Linked DNA regions of Solanum lycopersicum. Each later gene encodes a partner of the first gene's protein in a complex. Links are inferred from orthologs where the notes say so. Each region holds a gene or a part of one and is shown on either strand. Other genes may lie near its edges. The genes, in order: mediator of RNA polymerase II transcription subunit 30, probable mediator of RNA polymerase II transcription subunit 26b, mediator of RNA polymerase II transcription subunit 21, mediator of RNA polymerase II transcription subunit 27, mediator of RNA polymerase II transcription subunit 17, mediator of RNA polymerase II transcription subunit 32 and mediator of RNA polymerase II transcription subunit 14.

Region 1 (4,073 bases):
ATACTTTTGGGACATTGGTGCCCCTGTCGTCGTACTTTTGGGACATTGGTGCTCCTACCGTCATACTTTGGAGACATTGGTACCCCTGTCCCTTCGTTAGAGTGAAGGGCATATATGCTCTAATTTATGAACGACAGAGACATCAATGTCCCAAAATAATGACTGAAGGTATCTGCATATCATTTACGGTAGTTCGAGAATATATTTGTCATTTTTTCCTTTTTATAAAATAAATTTATTTGAATTTTAAAATCTGAAAAGTGTCTTATAAAATGAAATAGAAAGAATATTATATATATATAATATTTTAATTTCTATTATTAAAATGCACAATAAGACTAATTATCGATTCGAATGGTGTTGTCTTTTTTTAATTAGGTATTAATGGCACGTTGAATAAAAAAAAAGGAATCTTTGATTTGTTTCTTTCAAAATCTCAAATGGAAGTTTTTAAACATTTCTTCTTTCGCTTTTTAATTTTAATTGGAATCACACTTTTTTTAGTTTGCATCTATTTGCGATACATAGACTCTCTCTCATTCACTTTACGTCTTTTTCACTCGTCTTTTTTTCTATAAGTTTATATTTTAAAGTGTATATAGTAGTATATTACATGCATCTAGGTCTATATGACTTGACATCTAGTATGAAATTACTAATTAGAAGACGATGCGTAACTTTTCAAAATTATGAAAAAAAAACTACGTAGTAAATATGATAGGAATGTTTATGTAATCTGGTAATTTTTCTGCAACGTTAAACACAGATATTTGTGCACTTCTTTCCCCCATTGAATTTCGGGGAACTTATATACACGTACTATAATTAAAAAAATATTTACCATTTATAGCAATAATAAAAAAAAATTACTTAATCAGTTTTAATTTATTTATAATACAAGTTTTATACATATTATAAATAACAATTTAATATTACATATAATACAAATTTTAACGATGGATAATACGTTTTTCACACATTTTAATACATTTATAATAGAATGTGTCAAATTTAGTAAACAAACTTAATATATTTCAAAAAACAACTTATAATTCACGTACATTGCATACATAATTCACTTTTAATTCATATTGCAGATTTTACATAATATTGCTATAAATGACAATAAATAAAAAGTATCGCTAAAATCAGTAATTATTTATTAAAATGTATTAATTTATATAATTTTTCCTTGAATTTTGACCCAAGTAACTTGATTTTGGGCTTGATCCAGTAATACATAGCTCCTTACCCGGCCCAAAAAGTACACGCCACGCATAAAACGACGTCATTTTATGCTTAAATTAATTCTCCTTACAACTTCTCGCACCGCCGATCGCCACCACTACCGCCGCCGTCGATCTAGGGTTTTGACAAGCCGGTGACATTACCCGGTATGGAGGATAAAGGCACAATTACAAGCCCTAAAACCATACAAGAACTAGCAGTAGAAGGGCAAAAGCATTTAGAAGATACAATAGAAGCAGCACATCAAATTCTCTCCGCCATGAACGATGAACTCTGTAATCCATCACTTTGGTCCACTCTAAATACAGCTGCTGCTTCTTCTGCGGTGGCGGTGGCCGGTGGAGGAGTTGGTGCTAGTGGTGTTTTGAGTAATGGACAGCAGCACCATACAAACGGCGACATTTCGTCTGATACTTCTTCGTCTTCTTCTGCTTCAGCTCAGCATTTGGATATTGGTGGTGGTGCTCTTGATGAATCTCGTCTGCGTTATAAGTCCTCTATTGCTTCCTTGCGTTCTGTTCTTACTGCAATTTCTAATTCCCAAAAGGTAATTTTACGTATAAAAATGCAATTTTTTAAAACATTTTTGTAATTGTGTGATATCTGTAATTTAAGATAGTGATCTCAGGAAAAGTTAGTTTGATGTAATCATGAATCAACAATGGCTTGATCATAAACTAGTTCGGTTCAGCTATATGAATGAATCACTTCTAGTGAAGTCCATTAAACAGAAAATGTGTAAAAGACTGGGGCTTTGTTCAATGCCAAAGGTAGTTCAACGTGACCGCAAAGATTTGGATCCAACGTAGATAACCTCTAGTTTTAGAGGTTCCAAAGGTTAAAACTATTTGATACTGGAGTGAAGTGGTTCCATATGGATATGGAGGATTCGTATACTTCCACCACCAACCAGCTTGTGTTGAGCCATAGGTGGTGTTGGTGTTCTGTTAGATGGTAGTTTTGATTGGGAATGAAACTCAAATAGATATTCTAGAAATGTAGTTCCTTCGGAGTACTGTAGGAGAGAAAAACATTATCCAGTTTGAGCAGAAAAAAAAAGACATTATCTAGCGATAAAGGTAAATTCAGTGTGAAAAGTGTTTGGTGATTGATCTTAATCACAAAACAAGGGGTTAAACAGTTTTGGTGATTGATATGGGAAAGACATCATGTGGTTATATACTAGCACAATTTGCCCTTACCAATATGAGCAACATTTGCACATGGCAATTGTATATTTTGATGTTCTAGACATGGGGATAATATTTCTTCACTATGAATATAATATTCAGTCGTTTGATCATCCCTCGTCATCAGTTGATGAAGCTCAACTGTGCTGCTTACTCTTTTTCTGATTTGTCTTATATTCTTCTGGGTTTGTGGGTGGCTGTTGGGGGCTGGGGATGGGGGAAGATATTTAACTATGTTTTCGAGGTTGTTCTTGTTTCTGCTGTTTAAACGCACATGAGGTATAAGTGTTTATACCAAGATAAACTACTGCGTGTTATCCTTTTCAAGAAAGAATTAGCACTATAATCACATCTCAAGTCCTTGGTGTTGGTGTATGGATTGCCTTAACATTTGTGCATTGGAGAGAATCTGGTTAAGCAGTAAGAATTTTGTTTGTCAGTATGAACAAATAAATCACTGATGTTGAGTGCATTTTTGTTGCTCAACATATGTCCGACTACACATTAAATGAGTTCTTTTAGTAACTTCTTTCTTAAGAGTTGTGCAAGTATTTGCTCCGTTTTAACTGGAAGTTGTCAAACTCTCCTTTCTGTTGTCTCAATTCTCATGATTAACAAGTTATATTTTCTTGTACATTTTGGAAAGTTGTTAACTTATTGTATGATACTTCACACTCATTACTGGCTTTGTTAGCTAGGCAAAAGCATTGGAAGCTGCTTCTGCTAGTGGTTCACTATCTGCAGCAGATCAAGCGGAAATTGAGCAGCTGGAAGACCGGGCCTCTTCATTAAAGAAGGTATTGATAACATATCAAATTTTGACATATTAGAATTTCCTTGGATTTTTGTTGGTTTTTGGGATGCATGATGGGTGGGTTTGGTGAAGCAAATGTGTGTGCCAATATTTGAACCTTGACTGATGTCTTCCTTGATCCATTGAGTAATTTCTTATCCATTAAAACAATATTGAGGTATACTACATGTTACATTTTCATTCCGGACACATGACAAAATGTCTTACTGTACAAACTTTCTCAAGTCTCGATATTTGTCACAACCTCAAATCAGAACAATATGATTTTGTGATAACATATGAAAACTTGGTTTCAACATCCTCTGCTTGTTGTACATACTGTATTATTATTAATTTTATTCCTATTGCGTTAAAATTAGTCAAATCCTGTTTCATTTGCTTTATGTCTCCCCCTAGTGGCAATAAGAAGTCCTCAAGTGAAGGTAGAGTTTTATCGTACTTGAGTGCATGCCTAATAGTTTTCTATTATCTTACGGTAGTGAAAAATCAAGTTGCTATTGTGATCAAGATTTAAAGCATATTCTATTGTTCTTACAAATTGCAGGAGCTTGTAGACAAGAACAAGCATCTCAAACTTCTGATTGACCAGCTTCGAGATCTTCTTGCTGACCTATGTACATGGCAGAGTCCCTGTTCTACATGACTCTGCTGCTATAACTTCAACCATACAATTAAATCGGTGAGGTGTTAGAGATGTCAAAAGAGCAACGTATTCAATCTTAAGAAACTGTTTTATTTTTTTTTCACTTCTTTTGTACAGAAGTTACTGCTAGATTCAAAAAATTGGTCATCGCCGGACACCTGCTATATGCTGCTCGCGG
Region 2 (4,224 bases), on another chromosome or scaffold:
TAGGTATCAAGTAACAATTATTTTGTCACCAAAATATAATTTTGTAAAAAAAATATTATGATAGTGCAATTTTTTAAAATGAAACACGTAAGATAAGAAAATCCAACATAACAATGAGGACCGAGATCATATAAACGTTACCTCGTTATTGATAAATGCATTGGAAAAATAAATAAAAAATTAAAATTTTGTTTTGTTTTGGATCAAACAAAAAAATTCTGTTTTTTTAATGAAGTTTAATTCCTTCGTATATTTATTTAGTATTATAAATTAAATTCTTTCGAAATAGAAAGAAAATCTACTATACAACACTAGCAATAGAAATTACAAACTTCAACAAATAAAAAAAATTATATGGTACTTTTATTTACAAAATACAATGCAAAAATAAGTAATTTGTATGTTTATTAGGATTTTAAGGATAATAACATCTTTATTGAAACTCTTTTTCTAATTTTAAGTTAATCAAAGAACGAACAAGTCCTAAATAAATAATTATAATAATTTCACATAACAATAACTTGTTCATTAAAATATAAAAAGAAATATAAATTTATATATAACATATTATGATTTATAAACTACAAAAAAGGAAACAACATGAAAAAATCTAATATAACAAAGGGTGGTATAAGACTAAAACAGGAGAATTAATTTTTTAGTCCACTTGCTATTTTTAAAAAGGCAAAGATAAATTGGAGAAAATTTAAGTTAAACTTTATATAAATAAAAAATTTACCTTTTTTATTTGAAGTAAAAAAATAAAACTCCAAATGAATAATAGTATCAAATAACAATAGTTTGTCATTGAAATTTGAATTTAATATAATATTATGATATTTTTTATAAACAGACAGTATTATGATAAAAAAATTTAATGTAAATATGACATTTTATACGAATCAAACGTAATAAGACTTTTTCTTAAAAATTAAAATAAACAATGTGAATATATATTTATCCGTATTAATTAAGCATCTTATTATTTTAACAACTTATATTTCTTTTTATATAAAAATAAATCAATTAAAACATACTTTAAATATTTTTTTATTTTTTATTTTCTTACTTTTAATATATAAAAAATAACATTTTTTTCTTATTTTACCATCGATATTAATTGCTTACTCCTTGCTCATTTTTCAATATCCAAGACTATACATCATTCATCAATTAATATATTCACAACAAAATTATTATTATTATTACGAAATATATTAAAAATAGATAAATAAAAATAAATGAAGAGGATATATTATTTTGTAATTCCATAAAAAAAAACATATATAAAAAAAGAAAACTACTTCAAAGCAAAGAGATAAATCACTTCCTTAACTTGAAAATAAAAATCATTTCCTTTCAGATTTTTCTTTTATTGTTTTTCTATATTATGTCACTATATTTATTTATTTCTTATCATCCTTCTTTGAACTGAACACAGTTAAAAATAGTTTTTCTATGTCAAAGAGATATGAATAAAATCTATATCCATATCATTTCTTTAAACTTTACTTATGAACCTATATCAAATATGTTATTCTCATCGTTATCGTTGTCATCATCAAAGTTATCCTTATGAATTTCATCCATAAAAGAAGTTTTCAAAATCCAATTTCCATTCTATATACATATCAGAATTCGATTAGTTCAAATTTCACACTTATTCATACTTAAAATATATATTTTATATACTGACAATCTCTCGAGTTAAAAATGAAGGAATCAGAACCATCTCACCACGATCCATGCTAATGACCGAAGAAAATTGATCCTTATCACCTACCCCTAACCCCTACCCCCCACCCCCAACAGAGAAAAAACAATATTTTTTCTTCCTCTCTCTCGTGTCTCTTTGAACCAGCACCTTGTATTGCTTTTTTTTTTACAGAGAGAGAAATATAATTAAAATAATAAAAGATAGCTAGAGAGAGAAAATCTTCTATACTTTTTTTTTAACATATATTCTTTTTCTCTGGAAAAATTTCTTTCAATCGGAATAATTTTTTCTAGATTTCTCTTCTTATATCTCACCAAAAACTTAATCGGATTTTTATTTAATTTTTTTAATTTTGTTTTGTCATTTTGGGTTTATAGAGTTTCTATCATATGGATTTTTCCTAAAAAAAAAGCATAAAAATCTGTATCCGATTGCATTTTGCAGAACTGAATCGCCGGTGACACTGATTATTCAGTTTCCGATCATCGGAAAAAGTACCTAATCGGAAAACCAGAGGTTTTTATTGCTAAAAACCTTGTTTCCGATTAGAATTTGTATGATTTTCTTGTGGGTATAATTAAAATCGGATAAAGATTGAATTTGTATATTTGGGTATTGATAAATAATTGATTTTACGATCTGGGTTGATTTGTTTTTGCTCTGAATCATCAGTTATGGCGAAGAGTAGTGGGACTTTGGATAAATGGAGGGACTATTTTCGTACTGCAAATTCGGATATATTTGATATAATTGAGTATGCAGTGATGGTTGCTGCTGTTGATTGTCCAAAGGAATTTAAAATGAGAAGGGATAGAATTGCTGAAATGTTGTTTACATGTAAAGTTACTATGTGTTTTGGTTGTGAGAAAGTTGATTTAGCTGTACCAATTGCTGGTAATGATGATGAAGGAAAAATTAAGAGTAAGGATGAGTTTGGTGGTAGTAAAGAGAGCAAAGTTAACAGTAGGATAGATCATCATGATGTTGAGATGAATGTGAATCAAGTTAGCAATTATAGTTATGGAGAAGCTGAGGCATTAACTGAGGAAATGGAGGAAGAGACTCAGACTTTTGGGGAGGTGATGAGGATCAAAGATGTCATTGATAACAACCAAGCTGAGGTTCATTTCATCTCTATTGAATTTTGGTTATACTGTTGATTTGAAGTATTTTGCTGTGTTTGGATTTGTTCAGTCAAGAATTGGTGGACTCTGTGTATGTGAATTTGAAGTTTGTGTACTTTTGGGGTTGATCAAGAAGAAAATCTTGATAATTGAGCTTAAATGTTGTTAAATTTTTGGAGTTTCTGGTGTTGTATGACATATAACAATGGTTACTTTTATGGTTGAATTTAATGATTTGAAATTTCTGTTCTTGTGGGGTTGATCAGGAAGAAGAATCTTGATAATTGAGCTAATGTTGTAAGATTTTAGAACTTTTGTGGTTGAATTTGATGGTGATTCTATTTTCTCTACTAGTGTCTATAACTGGAAAATCTGATATGAGGTTGTTTTCATGTCACAGTTAGGAAACCTTTATGCTTTTCATTTCCTTTTTGCCCCCTTTTTGTTCCTTTGATCTAGTTGTACAAGGATGTTGCTTTCTTTAGCTTTAAAACAATGTATGAAGCTACTTTTAAACTCTTTATATCTTTTGCTATTTCACTTGCTTGGTAGTTTTGAGCTTTCCTCTAGTAATCGGGTTTTGAGTTATTGTTCTTTTTGACAGTCTGCAGAGTTGTTTGAGTGCTTAAGAAGGCTTCAACTAATGGCTTTGTCTGTGGAGACTTTAAAGGTTTGATCTTTTGACGCTTCCAAAATTTCATCTTCCATTTATTGTGGTTACTGTTTTTTAAATTTATTCTGGATGGACATAATTGATTGCTTCTATATCAGGCCACAGAGATTGGAAAGTCGGTTAATTCTCTCAGAAAGCACAACTCAAAGGATGTTCGGCATCTATCTCGGACATTGATTGAGTAAGTAACTCTTGCTTTATTGCTGAAATAACTGTAAGAATGTCGTCAAAATATGTATGCACAACACAGTTCTAGTAGTCTGATCCGGGGTATCTTTAATGTGGCTGAATTTGTTTTATCGCAAAGGTTTGAACTTTTGTCTTCGAGTTGAACTAACATGTCGTATTGGTGGCTCTGGCAGCTTGCTTTGTCGGTTGTAGTTTTGAAGCTATTATTACTTTTTAACGCTTGCAACTGTTTGTCGCTTACCGTTTATCTTTACCGTAAAATTAAGATTTCATCATAACTCAATCATCAATGCATACTAATGATGGTGATTGCTTCATTTATCGAGTGCTGAATTTGTTTTTATCGCAAAGGTTTGATCTTTTGTCTTTGAGTTGAACTAACATGTCTTTTTGGCGGCTCTGGCAGCTTGCTTTGTCGGTTGTAGTTTTGAGCTATTATTACTTCTTAACGCTTGCCACTGTTTGTCGCTTACCGTTTTTCTTTAATTGATGTTATCTTTAATGAAGATTCCATCATAACT
Region 3 (3,999 bases), on another chromosome or scaffold:
ACCATTTCGGCTCTTTCATTTTAACAAATTTCTCATACGATTTCAATCTATACTCAAGCATCCATTCAGGCTCATTCTTTCTTGATGAAATTAACCTAATAGTATCCTCCGAAAGCCCTTTTGGCAGCGCAAAAGATTCAATATTTTCATTAAAACCCCATTTATAGTCTCTTTTCAAGAATTTCTGAAGTGGGTCGCCTTCATTTGAGATTGATAAAGATGATTCTTTACCTGGAACTTCAACAGTGGCCTTCGCATCAGCAGCTTTAATCTTGAAATTACCTGGATTTGAGATTTTGGGGCCGGGTGAATTAGGCAAAAAGTTATACCCTTTTGGGAGTTTAGGCTGCTCAGCGATGGATTGAGGACAGAAGTGTGAGATTCCGTTGGTGAGAAGAGAAGCCATAGTTGATGCTTAGAAGATAGAAAGAAGCAGGATGAGAAGGCAAACATAAATTTTATTTGTTTCTTTTTTAATTTTTTGTGGTGTCTGATCTAAGATGTCGTATGCTGACCACGTGCATCTTTTCAAAGCCTAAATTACAACAACAAAAAAAAAACAATTAAAAAAAATAGTAAAGCTAAATTATTTTTGTTGCATTTTATGTCATTTAAGCGCTCACTTGATAATGATAAAGTCAGACTTTATGTTGAAAGGTTTAAAATAAAAACAAGTAAATGTGAAGAGTTATGACTGGTGTTTGTGCATGTTACTTTACAAATTAGGACTGGTGTTTGTGCATTATCTATAAGAACGGTGAAACTCAGAAAGTGACGAAATTTACTCAGAAATTCAATGGCGTTCATAAGAGAAATTTGTAAAATCCTGGGGAAAATCGTATAAGAGAGAAAATCGTCTAAGAAAAAAAAAGGGAAATCGTATTATGTTTTAGAGAAGTAAAATGAATGAAAATGAGAAAAAAATTAATAATTAAGATTTATGAGTCTACATGGAGATGATGTTTTTTGGTGCTCATGTGGCATCCATATGGTGTCCACGTGGCGTTCAGGTGACACTTAACACACCTTTGTTAAAATTAAGGGTAAAAATAACTCAATACTTTAATAGAAGGGCTAGAATTTAATTTAAAGATATATGTGAGCTAATTCGGATAATTCAGAAATATTTTTGAGCATTTTTCGTAAAATTTAATTGAAATAATGGTTAATTTTAGGTCTAATTTTAAAACAATTGTAACAGATTATCGAATCTACTTCGGCTCTACCCGGACCTCCAATTCTAGGGTTTTCAGGTAAGTTCTTCTCCTCTGTTTTCTATTCCTTTGTTCGATCTTTTCTCAAAATTCACCATTTTTGTTAGCAATAAAGGGAAGGATTTGGAAGATGGATATCATATCACAGTTACAGGAACAAGTAAATACAATTGCAGCTCTTGCTTTCAACACCTTTGGTACTCTTCAGAGGGACGCCCCTCCTGTGCGTCTATCACCTAATTATCCAGAACCTCCACCTGCTAATCCCACAGAAGACTCAGCTAATGTTGCAGAACAACCAAAGCAAATGAGTGCTGCTTTTGTTAAGGCTGCCAAGCAGGTGAAACTCCATACTCCATACCTTCACTTTTTCTGCTTATTCATCAACGAATATGAACAAGCCACAGACCAGGGTATAAAAGTAATCTGCGTGTACTTCGAGAATAGGGAATTTTCTCTTTTTTCGGAAGATCAAGATAAACTATTTAGTTTAGTTTCCTTTTTTGTGTAGACATTTTTTTTGTAAATGAGCCTGAATAAGTGATTGAACTTGTAGAATCCCTTTAAGAATAGGAAGGTATATCTTTGTGTTCCCTGTAAATGTTGTTGATTGCACCTTCTTGGTGCTGTATTACAAATGCACTTACCATTCCTTCAAAAAATCATTTTTGGACAAAATAATGTTTCTTTTGTCTTCTTTTGACTAGTATGTTTACTTTTGGAAACGTCAAATCTTTAGATATATGATGTGTTTGTGCAGTTCTATACAAGATAACACTAAGTTGTATCTTGGCTCATCATATCTAATGCGTACATGCAGTTCTATACCAGATGATATTAAGTCTTTGTTTGTTCAGACTTGAGACCTGCGTGGTTGAGTTCAAAGACCTTAGTCCTGATTCCTGAGACCAGTGTGGTTGAGTTCAAATACCTAGTCTTTTGTCCTTAGTTTAACGAGAAATACAATAATGCTATTAGCATCACCAACTACTTCAATAAAACTTGACTGAATCACATAATGGCGGACAAATTCCAACTACTAGCTGGACAGGATTGCATGCCTCTAGGGATTTTTACTAGAGAACTTGATGTCAGCCTCTCAGGTTTGGTAACCATGACATCTAGGCCAAGACTCACCGGGTAAACCTGGTGTCAAAACCGGAAAACTGAGTTCTAGTTTATCGCCCTTTAGCTGTCTTCTATGAAATGTATATGGACAACCCTGTGATTAGTTCTAAGGTGTTCAAGTTTACAGTTATGTTTCCCTTGTTTTCTTCTTGGCCTCACAATCAGAGGTTGTCTAATCTAGCATCCTATCAAACTTAAGCAGCACAGCCGACACTTGAGAGTAGCCTTGAGGATTGTGTGGCTCTAATTCAGACCAATTGCAAATTTTCATTGTGATCCTAAAGTGTATGCTTTGCTACAATGTCATTGTATTAAATCTATCTTCTCTTTTTCTTATCCTTCTTTGAGCAGTTCGATGTGTTGGTTGCTGCTCTTCCTTTATCGGATGGGAGTGAAGAAGCCCAATTGAAAAGAATTGCAGAACTCCAGGTATATGCTTCTTTGTGAATAATTGGTGGAATTCACTTTTTGACATCCTCTAATTCTGATGTGTTATAGCTTAACAGTATTTAAACTAAAAAAATAAAGAAGGATAAATAAAGATTAGTCTGTCTATTTTGGGCTTAGTAGTCTTACTCGGTTGTGTATGTATGTGATGTAGGCTGAGAACGATGCAGTTGGCCAAGAACTTCAAAAACAACTGGAAGCTGCAGGTAAGAGTTTGTTTTTCCCTTGCTTTCTTTCTGAAAGATAGTGGAAGCTGTTCTGATTAGGCTAAGGTCCAAATTTCCGTTTTCCTGTCTGTATTATTAATTTTTTGTTTATTCTGAGACTCAGTTTGCTGATTTTGGTGATTTAGAGAAGGAGCTAAAGCAGGTCCAGGAGTTGTTTAACCAAGCAACAGATAACTGCCTGAACTTGAAGAAGCCAGAATGAATAAGGTAGTAGATATTTCAGTTTGCTTGAGGAGCCCATTCTTGCTGGAATATACCCTGGAGGAACAACAAATTGATTGTGTCCATGTCTGTTATGGGTACATTTATTAACTAATTATAATTAGGCATGCTCTGACATTATTTTTTTTTTAAGTTCTTGGCCACTGCTGAAGAAAAGAATTCAGTATACTATTGTATCTGGTTTAGAGCTGTGTTTATAGAATGAAAAGAGGTAGGGATAATGTGCCTAAATAGCAAAAATCAGCAGTTTTTTTGTCTCCACATCCTTAAATATTAGTGTCTTCTGTGCCACGTGTTCAATTTAGAAGTTGGCTAGTTTCTCTGCTCCAGCACTTGTCAAAAGTTATGCAATTATCAGACTGACTTCGTAAACATGTGATCCCAAAACATGGCAGCTGGCATGCACAACTACCCTACCGAGTTGATGATTTTAATTCGTAGACACATTTTGGGCTGTGTCTGGGTACTTTGGGAGTTTAGATTGCATATCGCCAGAATATTTTCTTGTCGTGCTGGAACTGAGGCGTGGCCGAAAACAAGTAGCAACCACACAAAATATATAGAAAACCTTGTCTGCCTAATATGTAAGCGTGACAGCAACGAAGAGAAGAATTTACAGCCATCGGGGTTTGTTGAATGCTAAAATTTAGATAGAACGTGGGTCCAACTATGACTGGTAGAAGGACTCAACCACGTCATATGACAATTGGCATCAATACATGAATGAAGAAACTAACGCAGGAGACGTATTGAAGACTACA
Region 4 (3,957 bases), on another chromosome or scaffold:
TCTTCAAAAGTTGGAAAACTGCTGTGCAAAAATAAAGCCAAGGTGTCTTCGACTATGTAGATTGGAAAGATTTCAACTTTGTAAGTCAGTTCTTGTATGTTTAATAATAAACAGGGAAACTATCAGTTGACCAAATAAAAACATGGTAATTGTTTCAAAAAAAATTAAAATCCTAAAATGGAAGCCAAAAGCCCAAAACCAAAAAACCAGTACACATCTGGAGAACTATAGTATTCATGTCAAAATAATTGTGAAACAATAAAAACAAGAAAGTGGATCGTGGACAACCAAAGAGGAAAATGCATTAGAAGAGATAGAAACCTAAGTTTCTGGGAGGACGAAACAACTACAAAGAAAAGTAGAAAGAGAGAAGTATTCACAGAAGACTAGAAAGAATCACAATAGAAAACATACTCAGTATCATTTCCAACATAACAAAGAAATGCACAAGCCTTTCTAATGGACAGACTTTCAGCACAATTACTCTATAAAAGAATAACTCAAATTCCTGCTATAGAAACAGCTCTTCCCATCTAATACAACTGTGGTTCTATCTTTTAGTCTATCAAAACTTCATACTTTCCAACAATACAGCTCCCAATCAGCAAATTCCTCATTCTCTTTCCAACAAGTGAATGCTAATTGTTAGCTATATAGAACGCAAGGGATGAGATAATGTGTAATGGTTTTTCAGGTTGAGGCCAAAAGCATAAATGATCAGAGCTTAAAACTTCCGAATAAAAAGTAAGGGACTAGGAATCATCAAAATATGTAGAAACAAACTAATAGTTTATTTGTTGCAAGTCTCCTTGGTGTCCGACGCTCAAACAAACTAAAGACATTTCGTCAACCAGATGAAGGAACTGGCAAAAGAAAAGACAGCTAGCAATTAAGGGACTATGAATCATCAAAATATGTAGAATACCATGGAGAAACAAACTAATAGTTTATTCGTTGCAAGTCTTCTTGGAGTCCGACACCTAAACAAACTAAAGACATTTCGTCAACCAGATGAAGGAACTCTTGAGGTAGATGGCAAAAGAAAAGGCAGCTAGGTTAAAATATCATAGATTAGTAGGTTCTGTAAAGTTAACCGTATAAAAATGTAGGGTTATCGTAGCCCACATTCTCATGAGAAGGAGAAAGTAGGGGACTTAGAATACCCACAACATATAGGATACCAAGGAGAAACAAACTAATATGTTGCTGTTTCCATGTCTTCTTCGTGTCCGGCGTTTAAAGAAAATAAAAGCCAATGAAACTTCCCTGAACCACATGAAGGCTGTATCTCTTAAAGAGGCAAAAGAGAGGCAAGAAGTTCACTATATCATAGATAAGTACCTTCCACACAGATAGCTGAATAGAGATGTAGGGTTATCGTAGCCTACATTCTCATGAGAATGAGAAAGTAGGGGACTTTGAATTTCCACAACTTGTAGGACACCAAGTAGAAACAAACTAATAGGTTGTTGTCTGCATGTCTTCTTGGTGTCCAACGCTTAAAGAAAATAAAAGGCAATCAAATTTCTCAGAGCCGCATGAAGGACATAACGAGCAAAATAGAGGCAACAAGTTTAGTTTATCATAGATTAGTAGCTTCTGTAAAGATAACTGAATAGAGATGTCCGGTTATCGTAGCCTACATTCTCATGAAAGGAAAAAGTAGGGGACTTTGAATCGCCACAACTTGTAGGATACCAAGGAGAAACAAACTAATAGGTTGCTGTTTGCATGACTTCTTGGTGTCCAACATTTAAAGAAAATAAAATACATCAAACTTTCTGATCCAAGTAGAAACCAAAAATGGTTATACAATTGTATAGAGGTGTTTGCTCCAATGCACTTTGAGATCAGACCAATTGATGTCTATCCCTAGAGTATGCAGCCTGAAGAGGTTGATTCCCATGCAATGCATTATTTTTTGGGGGTAAACTGAGCTGTTCAAAGTAGGAAGAGGCCACCAGTTATCAGATTATCGAACAATTAGCAGTTCAAGTTAAAAAATGTGTATGGCCACGTAACCTGCTTACTCATTCTAAGCAACAAGAAGGGGACAATGAATTTCCTCAGACACTTGTTATGTCAGCAGGAGTAAACAAATGAGTTATTAAATGCTTAAACAATTCTTCACCAAGGCTCAAGAACTTTCAAGGCTTTTTTAGCCTTCTTGTGACTTGTCAAATAACCAAAAAAAATAAAGCCTAATGGAGCTAATTTTGACTTGATAGTTCTAATGTGATTCTAAGATAACACTCCCTAAACTAAAAGTCATCCTATATCACTGTGTATTGCCACCATTGAAAAGTGAAAGTTTTGCCAAAGATCTATTAACTGCGGGTGCATATCAACTTCTGCATAGAAACAATCTAACAAAATATTCATATCAGGTCTCATGACAATACAGGTCACTTTGCTAGATGAACAGAAATCAGTATATTTTTATGGAACTCATAAATCGTCGCACTAAAATTCAGAAAATTAAAACTTACCAGTTGAAACTTGGAAGAAAAGACTGAGATGCTGATAGATTGCAAAGCCGTCAATAGAAATCGTGAAAGTCAGGCAATGTCGCTGGTCGTAGACTCGCAGTGAGGCACAGTTTCTGGTAAATTACAACACAATACCATCGAAGAGTTTCTAAAATCTTTGAGCGGTACAAGAAATTGTGCCAATCACGGCGTAGTGTATGAAGAGATGCCGCACCGAACTAGGGTTCTTCGTCTTTTAGGGATGCTGCGATTTAGGTCTGAATGGAGAAGAGGGGCGCGTGGGGGTCTGAAGAAATAGTGTGGGGCGGGTCAGTCATGGTTTTGGGCCGGATTTGGTTTTGAATGTTGGGCCCAAGTGAGAGACTCATGTCCTTGGAGTCTTTTTTTAGCAAAAATAAAAAGGGAAATTTAGCTAACTAGTCAAAAAAATCAACTTATTTAGTGATAATATCCATATTTTAATAATATTAGTCAATTTTTACAATTAATAGTTGTATTCATTCAAAAATTATATTGCATTGTTTCTGAATTTGACTTTTTTTTTTGTAATTTGTATTTATTCTAAAGGTATGTCAACTGTTATGTATTTTATTTAAGAATGAGTACACCAAATATTTAATTATTTCTTTTCAATTTTTTATTTCATTCACTTTTTCATCATACTAATTTTTTTGTGTTTTATATATTATTATACAAAATTCTAAATAAAAACTATAATAAATAGAAATACAAATAAAATATATATTAAAATAAATACATACAAGATTTTTGAAGAAAAAAAATAGGCCAAATACATACGCAGGTCCCTAAAGTTGTTCGCGCTTTTCCCCCAGGTACCTCAACTAACCAAGATTCCTATAAATCCTTTAACCCCCTATAATTTGATCCTTTTAAATATTTTTGGCTGATGTGGAGTCAAATTTCAATAAATTATTTTTGGTAATTAGGCGCGTGAGATGAACCTTCCCCACGTGGAAATTTTGACCAATACACTCCAACCCAATTACACGTCAGTGCCACATATTATGTCATCAAACCTAAAAATCAATTCCCCCCCAAATCACTTTTAACCCGTTTCTAAACGAGAAAACCCTAAGAATCTCTCCTTTTCAATGACTTTTACAACTGAAATTCTTAGATTTTAAAGTGATTTCGAGTGTTTTGTTGAAGGAATCATCGAAGATTGCAGACGATTTTGGAGTTCATTCGCGATTTTCGAGTTGACGAGTGTGAGGTAAGTGACGAGCATGTTGTTGTGGTTGTGTGTTTTTAATATATGTGTTTATCCTGTGGTTTTTATTGATATATACTGGGTTTTAGTATCAATGTGGTTGTTGTTGTTAATATCTAGATAAAGTTAGGGTTTTTTGGTTTTTATTGTTCATAACTGTCAGAAAAATTTGGAGCCTTGTTTCAGGGAATCTTATGGACGCCATTATTATAACTCGTTTTCATCATGGTGGTAAGT
Region 5 (4,039 bases), on another chromosome or scaffold:
ATAGTTGAAATTAATTAAACATATCAATGATTTAAATTTAATTGCTTCAAACTTTTAGATTTTTTTAAATAAAAAATTTATTGTTCTTTTGTATTATGAAATTATATAAATATGAAATTAATTGATTTTCTTAGTTAAATTTTACATGTATATTAATGCATCGTCAAAAACAGAATTGAAATAAATCTATTGTCAAAGAATTGCATATGCTACTACAATGTTCAAAATCAAATCATTAAGTTTTATTGAATCTATGAACTCGTGATTAGACCGATCTGTTACTGTAAAAATAATCCTTAGCCGCCAAGAAAATAATGAAACTAAGATGTTTATTGTAATGTATATAAGTAAAATTTATTCACCAATCATATTTATTTGAGTTAATATATGTAATAATATTTTTAACTGTGTTATTTTCAGTATGAAAGTTATGCATGAATATAAGACGCATAACTTTTCTGTAGACCTAGTTACTATCGAAACTACAAGACGATTTGCTAACTATCGAACCTTTTTGAATATTTAATTGCATGATTTTCTTTTCAGATAGGTTGATCTTCAAATTTTACCTTTAATAATTGATAATTGCACGATTTTTCTTTTAAATAGGTTGATCTTTAATAATCAAACTTATACCTAGCGGTACATAAGTTCTTTAAGGGCACACGTGCTATAACTTATGAGATATTATGATTAAAAAAAATCTAAACTTACGTCCCACCAAAAAAGTTATTGATTTATCATAAGAGACAAAAATTGAAATCAAGTACAAATACGATAAAAGCGCAAATAACTCATTTTTTGACGAAAAAATTACATGAATTAATACATTTTAAAATATAATTACTGATTTTAGCTATATTTTTTGTTTATTACCATTTATAGCAATACTGTAATAAGTCTGTAATATGTATTAAAAGTGAATTATGTATGCAATATATATGAATTCTAATTGTTTTTGAAATATATTATGTTTGTTTGGTAAAAAATTGTCGCATTGTACTATAAGTGTATTAAAATGTGTTATAAGTGTATTATCTATCATTAAAACTTGTATTACATGTGAATAATAAATTGTTCTGTGTAATATGTATTAAACTTGTATTATAAATGAATTAAAAGTGATCAAGCGAGTACATTTACGTAAGTTTCCCTTTTTTGACCCACCAAACCAAACATGAAAGGGCCATAGTGTGGTTCGTAATAGGCCCATGATTTAAGCCCAGATCTTAATAGGCCCATACATTAAGCGAACCAAACCCCAATTATTTTCGACGGGTATTTTCCCCGATTTAGGGCACAATTCGGGATTTCTCCGACACTTCTTCCCGGAAAATCTCCCTGAAAAATGAACGGCAATCTGGAGATTTCCGTCGACAAGCTTCCGATCAAGCGTTTAGAGTATATTGAAGAACAAGGCGCTGAACGCTTCCCTTCGTACACTTTCTTTCTCTCTCTATATAAAAATGTAGAATTTCATGCATAATCAGTTTGTGAGCTGGATATTTACATTTAGATTTTTCGTAATTGTTGCAGTGATATAGGATACGATGAGAAAACGGTGAATTTGATTAGGAGAATTGATTTTGCGTGGGCAGTGGAAAGAGAAGAGCCAAGTAAGAAGCAGAAGAAAAGCAGTAGTGCTACTTCTTCAAAGGAGACAAGTAGCAGTCAGCCATGGCAATGGCAGAGTTTGGTGGAGAATTTGCGATTGGCTCATCAAGAGCTTCAAGTCATTATCGATCTCATTCACACTGTAAGTGTTAACATTAGAATTTTGGCTTATAATTTTAATGATTGAACTTAATGTCTATATAGTTTTGATAGAAAATAGTTCAAATTAAGTTTTAATTGTTCTGATATTTACATCTGGTCTGGTGTTTGTGTGGTGTCTGGTCAAAGACTAATGTGTGATAATTGTGAGATTTTGAGAATAATGAAGTTGAATAGAGAAAAAAGAATGGTGAGCAGGTTATAGGTTTGGGATTTTATTCTTTTTGAGTTGATGATTTCTAAATTAGTAATTTGTACTTAGTAAATGGATTGCATATGATACCTACAAAGTGGGCTAAAACTACTAGGTTCTGCTGAACCTGCTTCCCACACTCTAGCTCCGCCTTAATACGGAGGTTTAGTCAATGCCAACTAGTGTGCGATTGAGGTGTCGGTTGATTGATTGATTATTTGTTGGTACATGTTTAGTATGTCTTGTGCCTAGCTGGTTGTGTTCCATGCACTTACCATAAGAGGAAAACTTTGTGTTTTAGCCTGATAATGTGCTTGAAAGTGGAATACATTTGTCTTATGCTGTACTCATTATTGGCCAATTGAGTTTTTGTGGCATGCAGTTTTAGACTGAATGATACAGAGTAGTGTTTGCATCATGGATAAATGTTAATAAAATTTCATCTATGAGAATAGAGCACACTGGTTTTATTCCAATGTTGAGGTTTATCACGAGAGTGGGTTGGAACATTTTTATTTAGTTATCAATATTAGTAAGGTATGAATCTAATTCAGAAAATACAATAGAGAACTGTAAAATACACACATGTATGATCGTGAATGTACTTGAAAAGTGGTTAGAGAAAGAAGATCAAGACATCTTATTTACAACAGAGGAATTATTAACTACCTCTAAGTTGTTCCAGTAGGGAATTTCATGTGTGCGTGATAAAGAAAGGCCTTTTGGAAGGTGTAAAGTTGGATACACCACATATTGGATTTTTGAATTGAATCAACGTGGCTTTTCTAAATTGCAATAGCTACACGAGTATCAAGCTACTAAGCCACACTATGGAAGTCTGGGAAAGGGTGGTCGAGATGAGGATGAAGAGGGGTGTGTCAGAACCAATTCAGCTTGAAGCCATGAAAGGAGATTGTTTGAGCAGTATAGGGAGAAGGAGAGGGACTTGTACATGGTGTTCATTGACCTAGAAAAGGCATATGATAATGTCCCTAGCATATCATTTACTCCTCATTATCAGTATGATAGAGACAACTAAGGATTAAAAAATTTGACTTAAGCTTTCGGCATTAGTTATTTAAGTGGCATGAGATTCGTCAGTCCATTTGCTCCTTCAATCCCTTTTTGCCCCTTCTCCCTGGCATTTAAGACAGCACCTTTCTTAGGCATAAGATGAATAAATTAGCAGGAACTGTGGATTATGTATTGCATTGTTGACTCTGCTGTTCTGCATACAGGTGGAGGCAAACGATGCAGTGACAGTGGCTGGCATGACCAGGCCAAAGCAATTGCCCAACGAGCATCTGTCAGACCTTGCCGTGTCTATGGCAACCAAGCTGCAATGCTTCCGTGTATTTTACTTTATCCCTTCTGCAAGATGTTATGGTTGATGTATAAGTTTGAGTTAAACAAATAATCCACTGATTATCTTTAAGTCTAATGGTTTGTTGACAAAGTATAGTTATGCACTTCATTAGCAAAGCTGTATGTGTTTCGTAATTTGGCTTTTCTTTTGCAGCATTTGGGGAAATATTTTAAGCAATCTGCCAAAGCTTTGGAACAACAAGTGGCTAGAGAAGCAAGATTTTATGGTGCTCTTATCAGGTTTGTTCTTTGTGGCTACGAACAGTATTAGTACATTGTGAAAGATATGTGTGCAGTCATTTAGACTACCATGTCTTTGTGCCTTTCCTCAAAATTTTGGCTATTTCCTGATGAGCTGATAGATTGCAGCAAAATTGGAAGGTTAAATGGCATCGGATGGTTGCTGCTGCTTCTGGAAATGAAGGGTTTTACATTGATTTATTTGACACTTCATTATATGATCCAGCGGTTGCATTTCGCCCATCTTCTGCATCTGTGGTGCGTATTGAGCATGACCCAGCTGGGATGCTGGCTGTGAATTTACCGCCAAATTCCTGCCGGACTCTTCAATTTGAGTTTCTCGGTGCAAGTACACCTGCTGGTGTTATAAAACATAGCAGACTGAGACCAAAGGTGTCTTTTGAGGATTCTTCTGGAGAAACTAAGAGAGAAAAAAGTGATGATGAGCATGTGAGAGAAACTCATTCG
Region 6 (3,842 bases), about 62 Mb from region 1:
AATTGAAAAATAATAAAGTATAATTTACCTAAATATAGAGTAAATTAGTTCGGGTATTATAAAATAAATTAAATTCATAATATATAGCTCGGATACATTAAGTACGTTAGGAGAAAAGTAGGAGATTTTAAAGATTTTTAGAAATAGTAAGTATACTGAAAATAAGAAGAATATAAAAAGTATATTTCAGTAATTTTTCTAATAATAAATGTGAAATAAAAGTTGGTCTTATGTGATATTGTATGCGTATGAAAAATGTTAGGTCAAATCCATCGATGGCCCCTAAACTTGGCACCAATTTTCACTTAGATACCTCAATCAGGCGATGTTCATTTTAAACACCCCATGTAAGGTTCAACTGTGTCATTTTGATACTTTTCTGACAATAAATAAAAAACTAAAGGAGAGTGTAAATGTGTAATACACTCGTTGATGACGTGGCAAACAATCAATTAAATAATTACATGTATTATTTTCAGTTAAAAATAATTATAAAATCTATTTAGTAAAAAAATTTAAAATATTATTCTACGAAAATTTCTTATTTCATTACACTCAAATCTCTTTTGTGCTTTACAAAAAAATATTATTTTCTTTTACTATTTTTCATATTTATTCTTCTTTTTAGTATTGTTTTTCTTTAAAAAAAGAAAGGAGGGAGAGAATAAACATGAAATATGGGTGTTGGTATCCATTTTTCCGGCAAAAAATAGAGTGAGGTGAAGATAGACTTAGATAAGTAATACAATGATGAAGAAGAAAATGACTTAACAACGAATTTGAATAAAAAATTTGACCTCCATTGAAGGAATTTAAATTCGAAAAAAAAGGGGGTGGTGGCTTGGAGAAGAAGAAGATAAAATAAAATTAAAAATGGCTAAATTAAGTCTTTCACGCGCTATTGTTAAGTGTATCACACTCACTTTGACATGTCAGCAAAAAGTGCCAAAATGACACAACAGAACCCTACACGAGGTGTCTAAAATGAACATCGCCTAATTTAGGTGTTCTAAGTGAAAATCGATAGCAAGTTTAGGAGGTCACCGATGAATTTGACAAGTTTGAGCAATTAAACAAAATATTTAATTTAAACATTAATGTAAAATTAATTTTATTCATCACATATAATATAATTACTCATCAATAATATATAACACTAACAAATGAAAAAAAATATATGTCTCATTTTAATGTACATAGAACACTTAATATATAATACTAATGATGAAAATACAAATAAAATAAAAATTAAGATACATAAATAATACTACTCCTTTAGTCCAATAAAATAGCACTCGTATATATATAAATAATTATTAGAAACTCAAACAATTATTACTCAATTATGATTTTATTCAAATATATTTTAAAAATCTTACACTCTAAAATATTAATTTTGAAACTAAAGGGAAGCTTTGTGTTACAAATGAAAACTATTGGGGAGGAATATGTAATTATTTCGAAACAGAGTGAGGGGAGAAGAGAAAAAAACCAAAAAAAGACAGAGGAGAAGATTGTGGAAGCCATTTTCTTCCTTCAGTCAAGTAAGTAGAAAAACCCTAGTCTTTGTGGTTTTTCTTCTTTTCATTTGCTTAAATTTATTTGAGTATTTTCAAGAAATTTGTGTATTGCATCAATTTTGTTTCAGTTGATTTCTTGCTTTTGAGTGTTTTGGGTAATCATAGAAAATTGTTTCTTGGGTTTGTTTTTGTATGCAGAATTTGATAGCATAATAGCTCTTTAATTGTTGTACAAAGATTCAATTTTTAATGATGAAATTACTACAAAGATTCAATTTTTAGTGATGGTCTTGCTAAAGATTCAATTTTAATGATGTTGTTGCTATAAAGATTCAATTTTTAATGATGGTCTTGATACAAAGATTAAATTTTTAATGATGTTCTTGCTAATTTATTCTCTCCTTTATAGATTTACGGAGGTTAGTGATCAATTAGGGCTTCGAGGGGTTGTGATGGATAATCTCGTAGATGCACTGAGCAGTGCATATCAAGACTTTGTTGCAGCATCAGCTGTTGTACTTGAATCAAAGGAGAGTTCTAATGGTCAGAAAACAGCAGCAACTGATGCTGCATTAGAAAACTTTAAGCAAAAGTGGGAGTTGTTCAGGGTTGCGTGTGATCAGGCGGAGGAGTTTGTGGAATCGGTTAAGCAAAGAATTGGCTCCGAGTGTCTTGTGGATGAGGCTACAGGCACTGTTTCAGGGAAGCCTGGGCAACCAGCTGCAAGTGGCCTTCAACCCATTAGTGCTGTTAGGTTGGAGCAGATGAGTAAAGCTGTAAGATGGCTAGTGATAGAACTGCAACATGGTTCTGGAGCGAATAGTGCTTCAGCAGTACATCCCAATCCTTCTGCTCCATTTGATGCCAGATTTTCTGAAGATGCAGCTCAATAGGTATACTGAAATCTCGCTGATACTTCCTGTCCTTGTCGTTTCCGTTGACTATGTTAAATAATCTGGAAACAAATTTGTATTATTTAATGAACTATTAGTGATAGGCTTTGTATCCTAGACTTGATGATGAAGCAAATAAGTGAACATTCCCTTGGAACTGAAACTGATTCATATATAAGAGCTGCTATTACAAAACCGCTGGTCTTGTATAAATTTCCAGGTTGATAGAAAAGTAGTAGAAGCTAACAAAACTGCTTTTTAGTGGCATCATATGTTCTCTTCCATCAGAACGAATAACTGTGAGTAACCACTAGTTTCTGCAGCAATTATGTTATATGTACTATCCTTACTTTATTTATGAAGAATACTATCCTTACTTATTAAGCTAAGTTTGACCCAACTTCTTTTTTTATGATCAATTATGTACTATCCTTACTTATTAAGCTGAGTTTGACCCAACACTTCTGACAGACAAATGGAAACTAGAAAAAAAAAATTGGTTTCGTTTTATTCTGTTTTCATCGCTGTAAAACAAAGAACTATTAGTTGTGACTGTTTTCAGGTAACTACAGAGTCTGGTGATCAGCAGAGAGAAACAGAAGATCTTATGTGCCTTAGTAAGCCGCTAAAGTTGATGTTTGATGTATGAAGTCATGTTGTAACGATGTAGAAGAAATACTTTGGAATGATATTTGTAAACCACCTTTACCGCCTCCCTCCCTCGCCATCTTATGAGAAGATCTGGCAAATTTACATTTGTGTTTTCTAGGCACAGAGATTTACTTTTATCGCAGTATGAGCTACTGCACTGTTAGCTTTATTTAGATCTTAAGCATACCAACATATACAAACAGGCTGTATGTTTGTGTCTGCTATGTGTACCTTATATTCTCGAGTATTTATGTTTATAATCGATTTTTGTTAGGAAATATATCTCCAATCTTGTAAAGTGGCTTTTTAGTTAATTGTGTTAACCCTGATGAACTCATTCAGTAGGCTTTGGAGACCTCTGGAATTGTTGCAACAGAGTATTATGACGCTTTGAGTGTAGCAGTATTAGTAAATACGCTTTAGCTTACAACTACATCTTGATTGCTACACAAATGCTCAGTATCCATGTCGCTCCATTTAACCTTATCTCAGTCTAATATTTAGTTGTACTGTATAATAACTTTGAAAACAGAAGTTCTCACTTGTCACTGCACTTGGAAACGTCTTTGTCCAATAACGCAAACTAATACTAGTAAATGAGAGATCTATGATGTAAAAGTTCTGATGGTTATTGAGAATCGTCTGAAGGGATGACAAGCAGAGGCTACTCTATAAAGCTATATATATCAGAAAAAACAACGCTCTTTTCATTAATTTTATGCAGACCCAAGAAGAAATGGGTTTTGAGGCAACATACAATGCTTAAGAGCATCTTTTG
Region 7 (3,701 bases), on another chromosome or scaffold:
AAGCAATGTAAACTCTAGCATAAATCAGCCTGCACCCGGAGCTGGAGTTAATCCTGTTTCAGCTTCTGTGGGTACACTTGGCGCACACAGCCATCCTAGTGCTGCAATGTTGGCAGCTGCAGCTGCCGCTGCTGGAAGAGGTGGTCCTGGCATTGTTCCGAGTTCACTGCTGCCAATAGATGTCTCTGTTGTACTTCGTGGTCCGTACTGGATTCGCATTATTTATCGGAAAAAATTTGCTGTTGACATGAGGTGTTTTGCTGGAGATCAGGTTTGGTTGCAACCAGCAACACCACCTAAAGGGGGGCCAGAAGTTGGAGGATCTCTGCCATGTCCACAATTTCGACCTTTCATCATGGAACATGTTGCCCAGGAACTGAATGGAATTGACTCTAACTTTACTGGTTCTCAACAAGCAGTTGGCGTGCCTAACTCAAATAGTTTAAATGCTGGTTCACAGCTTCCAGCTGCAAATACGAACAGGACTAATCTCTCTAATTCTACTGGGTTAGCTCGTCCAGCAAATGCTGTAACTGGTTTCAATCGTACTGCAAATGGTCTTCCAGCAGCATCAAATTTAGCTGGGGTAAATGCAGGGATGCCTTTGCGCAGAGCGCCTGGTACTGGTGTACCTGCTCATGTCAGAGGAGAACTAAATACTGCAATTATTGGACTTGGTGATGATGGAGGGTATGGTGGTGGATGGGTTCCTCTTGTTGCTCTCAAGAAGGTTCTCAGAGGCATTCTAAAATACCTTGGGGTGCTATGGCTCTTCGCTCAGTTACCGGACCTTCTGAAGGAGATTTTGGGATCTATTCTGAAAGATAATGAGGGTGCATTGTTGAATTTGGATCAGGAGCAGCCAGCCTTACGCTTCTTTGTGGGGTAAGGTTCCAATCATTCTGTATTCTATCTAGTCCCCGTCTATTCTTATGCTGACTGAATTGTGATGGAGAGAACTTGGGAATGGGAAGGGACCTCCTGAATCTCAATTCTCACATGTCCTTTAAATTGGATGTGTGTAAACCTGGCATTTGAAGAGAATCTCCAAATTCTTAGTTCTCACATTTTCCTTTACGTTGGACACGTCTTACATGAATTTTGACTGGCTATGCATGATTTGAACCCTTCTGAAGTCATGTTTATCATTTTTCCGGTTCTCCTTGTTTTCCTGCCTTCAGCTTGGATTTTGATTTCTCATTTCTGCTTGAATTGTATTGCATGTGTTCATTGTCATTCAAACATTGATACTTAGCTTTGATTGTCTTTCTTAATCATTCGTTGTGCTTGGAGTAGGTCGAACTTTAGTTATGTTATGAGTGTCGAGGCTATACAGTAAAGTAGTCATGTAGTGTACTCATTCAGCATATTTTCTTACGATTAGCTCAAAGAAGTACTGCTATAACCCCTGATAAATATCCGAATCTTTTGCAGATATTTTCTCTGTGACTTCATACTATTTTTTATGTTATATTTTTGGAGTCAGGCAAGTCTATTGTAAAAGAAGAGTCTGGGAACAACATGGATATCATGTTTCTTTTTGGTTTTTGTGCTCAAGGCTTTTCCGTTTAGAACCATTTTCCCGGGCCTGTCTAATTTCATTAAAGCTCAGTCTAGTTAAAAAAAAAATCTCACCTGAGTTTTGTCCATTTTAGTTTCACATAGTTACTTTTAGTCTACTGGTTTGATGTTCAACATGTTCTGCTTAATGTCTTAAATTTTCTGACTTGTTAGTACTCTGTTTCAATTGGCTAGAAAGGTCGGTACTTTTTAAGTGTATAATCTGAATAATATATCCCATTTTGGGGATATCCTTGTCTGATGTTTTTTATGGTGACCTTTTAATCTTTTATGTCTAGAAAAGTTGCCTGCTGTTTCAATATATTCCACTGATTACTGGGGTGTTAACTAGTTTTATTTGGTTTTTTAAAAGCATGTATAATATTTTGTGATCTTGAGTTCCTATTTCCTGATAATTTTGTTGCTGCAGGGGCTATGTATTTGCTGTTAGCGTTCATAGGGTTCAACTTCTCTTGCAAGTTATTAGTGTCAAGAGGTTTCATCAGTCGCAACAGCAGCAGCAGCAAAATCCCGGAAGTGCGCAAGAGGAATTAACTCAGTCAGAAATAGGAGAAATATGTGATTACTTCAGCCGCCGTGTTGCGTCAGAGCCATATGATGCTTCTCGTGTGGCATCATTCATTACACTTTTGACGTTACCTATTTCTGTTTTGAGAGAATTCCTTAAACTCATTGCATGGAAGAAAGGGTTGTCTCAAGTGCAAGGAGGTGATATGGTCCCTACACAAAAATCCCGTATTGAATTGTGTCTTGAGAATCATGCTGGATATAGTATTGATGGTAGCTCAGAAAATACATCTGCGTCCAAAAGCAATATTCACTATGATCGGGCTCACAATTCTGTCGATTTTGCACTTACGGTTGTTCTTGATCATGCACATATACCTCATATTAACGCGGCTGGCGGTGCTGCTTGGTTGCCCTACTGTGTGTCTGTTAGGTTGAGATATGCATTTGGTGAGAACCCAAATGTTTTGTTTCTGGGAATGGAGGGGAGCCATGGTGGACGGGCTTGCTGGCTGAGAGTTGATGATTGGGAAAGATGCAAACAAAGAGTAGCTCGAACTGTTGAAGTGAATGGAAATTCCGCTGGTGATGCCAATCAGGGAAGGTTAAGGGTTGTCGCAGACAGTGTTCAAAGAACACTGCATGCGTACCTTCAGGGGCTGAGGGATGGTGGTGGAGTTGCTGCAGGCATTGGATCGTGAAATAGAGAGATTTCAATGAAGTAGATCTAAACAATACACAAATGTAGTGCTGACTAATCCGAAAAATTGCCTTGCAAGATTAACCGGAAGAACCAGCCAGTGTAGATTTGGATGTGGCTAACCAGCTGGGATGTAAACTAGACTTCCTTTTTAATGGGTATATGCAGGCTCCTTTGTACAGGTAAAAATAGATCTATTCGCGTCTTGCTTCGAATGATACACAGAGATCTGTTCTGGATGGTCAAGCTCGACTGCAATTAGAAGGATCGCTTAGTGTTGTAAATTGTTGGAAGTGAAGGCTTAAATTATTTCTCCCTAAATTTCTGTAAGTAGCAACACTGTAAGACAGTTGGATGTGTTTCTCTAATTCTCCCCATATGAAATTGAATGGATACACAATTTATACAGATAATTACTATTAGTTTAGAGATGTGGCATAGTTGTTTTAATTGTAGAAAAGATCAATTCATTGTTAGAGATGGATAAATGAGAAAATTACTTTGCTGGATCAGCCAAGCAATACATGTAAAAGTGAGGGGGCATGATTGATGGTGTATTTTAGACCCATATATGTATGTTGCTAAAAATTATATATAAAAATTCGTTGCATGCTAAAACAAAAATGTAGCAGAATATGCAATCATATCGAATTAATGAAGAATTGGAGCTAAGGAATGGTTAACTTACCTAAGTTTTGATCTTAACCTGTCAATGAGGGAAAAGCCAGGAATGTAAAATTAAACACAATAGCTCAACACAACTAGTCAAATACAAGAAACAATCGTGTTGTAGAAAATAGTAAAAGCCTAGAAGCTATAGCTAGAGGCAAACTGCATTTATGAACTTTCCTTGGTGCTTGGAACTTTTGTGTCTTGCTTCTCTTCTTGACTAACCTCAATGGCCTTTTCGACT

Evidence for each region.
Region 2: mediator of RNA polymerase II transcription subunit 30 (region 1) and probable mediator of RNA polymerase II transcription subunit 26b share a complex: the UniProt entries of both Arabidopsis thaliana proteins name them as parts of the mediator complex. The link is inferred for Solanum lycopersicum from reciprocal best matches to the Arabidopsis thaliana genes AT5G63480 and AT5G05140.
Region 3: mediator of RNA polymerase II transcription subunit 30 (region 1) and mediator of RNA polymerase II transcription subunit 21 share a complex: the UniProt entries of both Arabidopsis thaliana proteins name them as parts of the mediator complex. The link is inferred for Solanum lycopersicum from reciprocal best matches to the Arabidopsis thaliana genes AT5G63480 and MED21.
Region 4: mediator of RNA polymerase II transcription subunit 30 (region 1) and mediator of RNA polymerase II transcription subunit 27 share a complex: the UniProt entries of both Arabidopsis thaliana proteins name them as parts of the mediator complex. The link is inferred for Solanum lycopersicum from reciprocal best matches to the Arabidopsis thaliana genes AT5G63480 and AT3G09180.
Region 5: mediator of RNA polymerase II transcription subunit 30 (region 1) and mediator of RNA polymerase II transcription subunit 17 share a complex: the UniProt entries of both Arabidopsis thaliana proteins name them as parts of the mediator complex. The link is inferred for Solanum lycopersicum from reciprocal best matches to the Arabidopsis thaliana genes AT5G63480 and AT5G20170.
Region 6: mediator of RNA polymerase II transcription subunit 30 (region 1) and mediator of RNA polymerase II transcription subunit 32 share a complex: the UniProt entries of both Arabidopsis thaliana proteins name them as parts of the mediator complex. The link is inferred for Solanum lycopersicum from reciprocal best matches to the Arabidopsis thaliana genes AT5G63480 and MED32.
Region 7: mediator of RNA polymerase II transcription subunit 30 (region 1) and mediator of RNA polymerase II transcription subunit 14 share a complex: the UniProt entries of both Arabidopsis thaliana proteins name them as parts of the mediator complex. The link is inferred for Solanum lycopersicum from reciprocal best matches to the Arabidopsis thaliana genes AT5G63480 and SWP.

What each region holds. Positions count from the first base shown.
Region 1 is NC_090807.1:2,029,146-2,033,218, reverse strand, and holds the start of mediator of RNA polymerase II transcription subunit 30, read left to right. Parts: upstream 1-1,273; 5' UTR 1,274-1,396; coding exon 1,397-1,795; intron 1,796-3,136; coding exon 3,137-3,235; intron 3,236-3,796; coding exon 3,797-3,895; 3' UTR 3,896-3,931; intron 3,932-4,012; 3' UTR 4,013-4,073. UniProt on the Arabidopsis thaliana protein: Component of the Mediator complex, a coactivator involved in the regulated transcription of nearly all RNA polymerase II-dependent genes.
Region 2 is NC_090809.1:61,266,115-61,270,338, reverse strand, and holds the start of probable mediator of RNA polymerase II transcription subunit 26b, read left to right. Parts: upstream 1-1,424; 5' UTR 1,425-2,391; coding exon 2,392-2,838; intron 2,839-3,445; coding exon 3,446-3,511; intron 3,512-3,612; coding exon 3,613-3,695; intron 3,696-4,224. UniProt on the Arabidopsis thaliana protein: Component of the Mediator complex, a coactivator involved in the regulated transcription of nearly all RNA polymerase II-dependent genes.
Region 3 is NC_090801.1:60,839,865-60,843,863, reverse strand, and holds mediator of RNA polymerase II transcription subunit 21, read left to right. Parts: upstream 1-1,344; coding exon 1,345-1,554; intron 1,555-2,693; coding exon 2,694-2,771; intron 2,772-2,943; coding exon 2,944-2,995; intron 2,996-3,119; coding exon of another isoform or gene 3,120-3,127; exon of another isoform or gene 3,128-3,141; coding exon 3,142-3,218; 3' UTR 3,219-3,499; downstream 3,500-3,999. Other genes in the region: iron-sulfur cluster assembly SufBD family protein ABCI8, chloroplastic, read right to left, coding at 1-406. UniProt on the Arabidopsis thaliana protein: Component of the Mediator complex, a coactivator involved in the regulated transcription of nearly all RNA polymerase II-dependent genes.
Region 4 is NC_090800.1:77,929,041-77,932,997, reverse strand, and holds the start of mediator of RNA polymerase II transcription subunit 27, read right to left. Parts: upstream 2,801-3,957; 5' UTR 2,490-2,800; intron 1-2,489. UniProt on the Arabidopsis thaliana protein: Component of the Mediator complex, a coactivator involved in the regulated transcription of nearly all RNA polymerase II-dependent genes.
Region 5 is NC_090811.1:1,513,851-1,517,889, forward strand, and holds the start of mediator of RNA polymerase II transcription subunit 17, read left to right. Parts: upstream 1-1,239; 5' UTR 1,240-1,348; coding exon 1,349-1,437; intron 1,438-1,536; coding exon 1,537-1,756; intron 1,757-3,204; coding exon 3,205-3,318; intron 3,319-3,485; coding exon 3,486-3,571; intron 3,572-3,693; coding exon 3,694-4,039. UniProt on the Arabidopsis thaliana protein: Component of the Mediator complex, a coactivator involved in the regulated transcription of nearly all RNA polymerase II-dependent genes.
Region 6 is NC_090807.1:64,223,280-64,227,121, reverse strand, and holds mediator of RNA polymerase II transcription subunit 32, read left to right. Parts: upstream 1-1,398; 5' UTR 1,399-1,544; intron 1,545-1,546; exon of another isoform or gene 1,547-1,675; intron 1,676-1,929; 5' UTR 1,930-1,972; coding exon 1,973-2,413; intron 2,414-2,959; exon of another isoform or gene 2,960-2,975; 3' UTR 2,976-3,342; downstream 3,343-3,842. UniProt on the Arabidopsis thaliana protein: Component of the Mediator complex, a coactivator involved in the regulated transcription of nearly all RNA polymerase II-dependent genes.
Region 7 is NC_090800.1:84,067,137-84,070,837, reverse strand, and holds the end of mediator of RNA polymerase II transcription subunit 14, read left to right. Parts: coding exon 1-885; intron 886-1,990; coding exon 1,991-2,789; 3' UTR 2,790-3,201; downstream 3,202-3,701. Other genes in the region: sec-independent protein translocase protein TATA, chloroplastic, read right to left, coding at 3,626-3,701. UniProt on the Arabidopsis thaliana protein: Component of the Mediator complex, a coactivator involved in the regulated transcription of nearly all RNA polymerase II-dependent genes.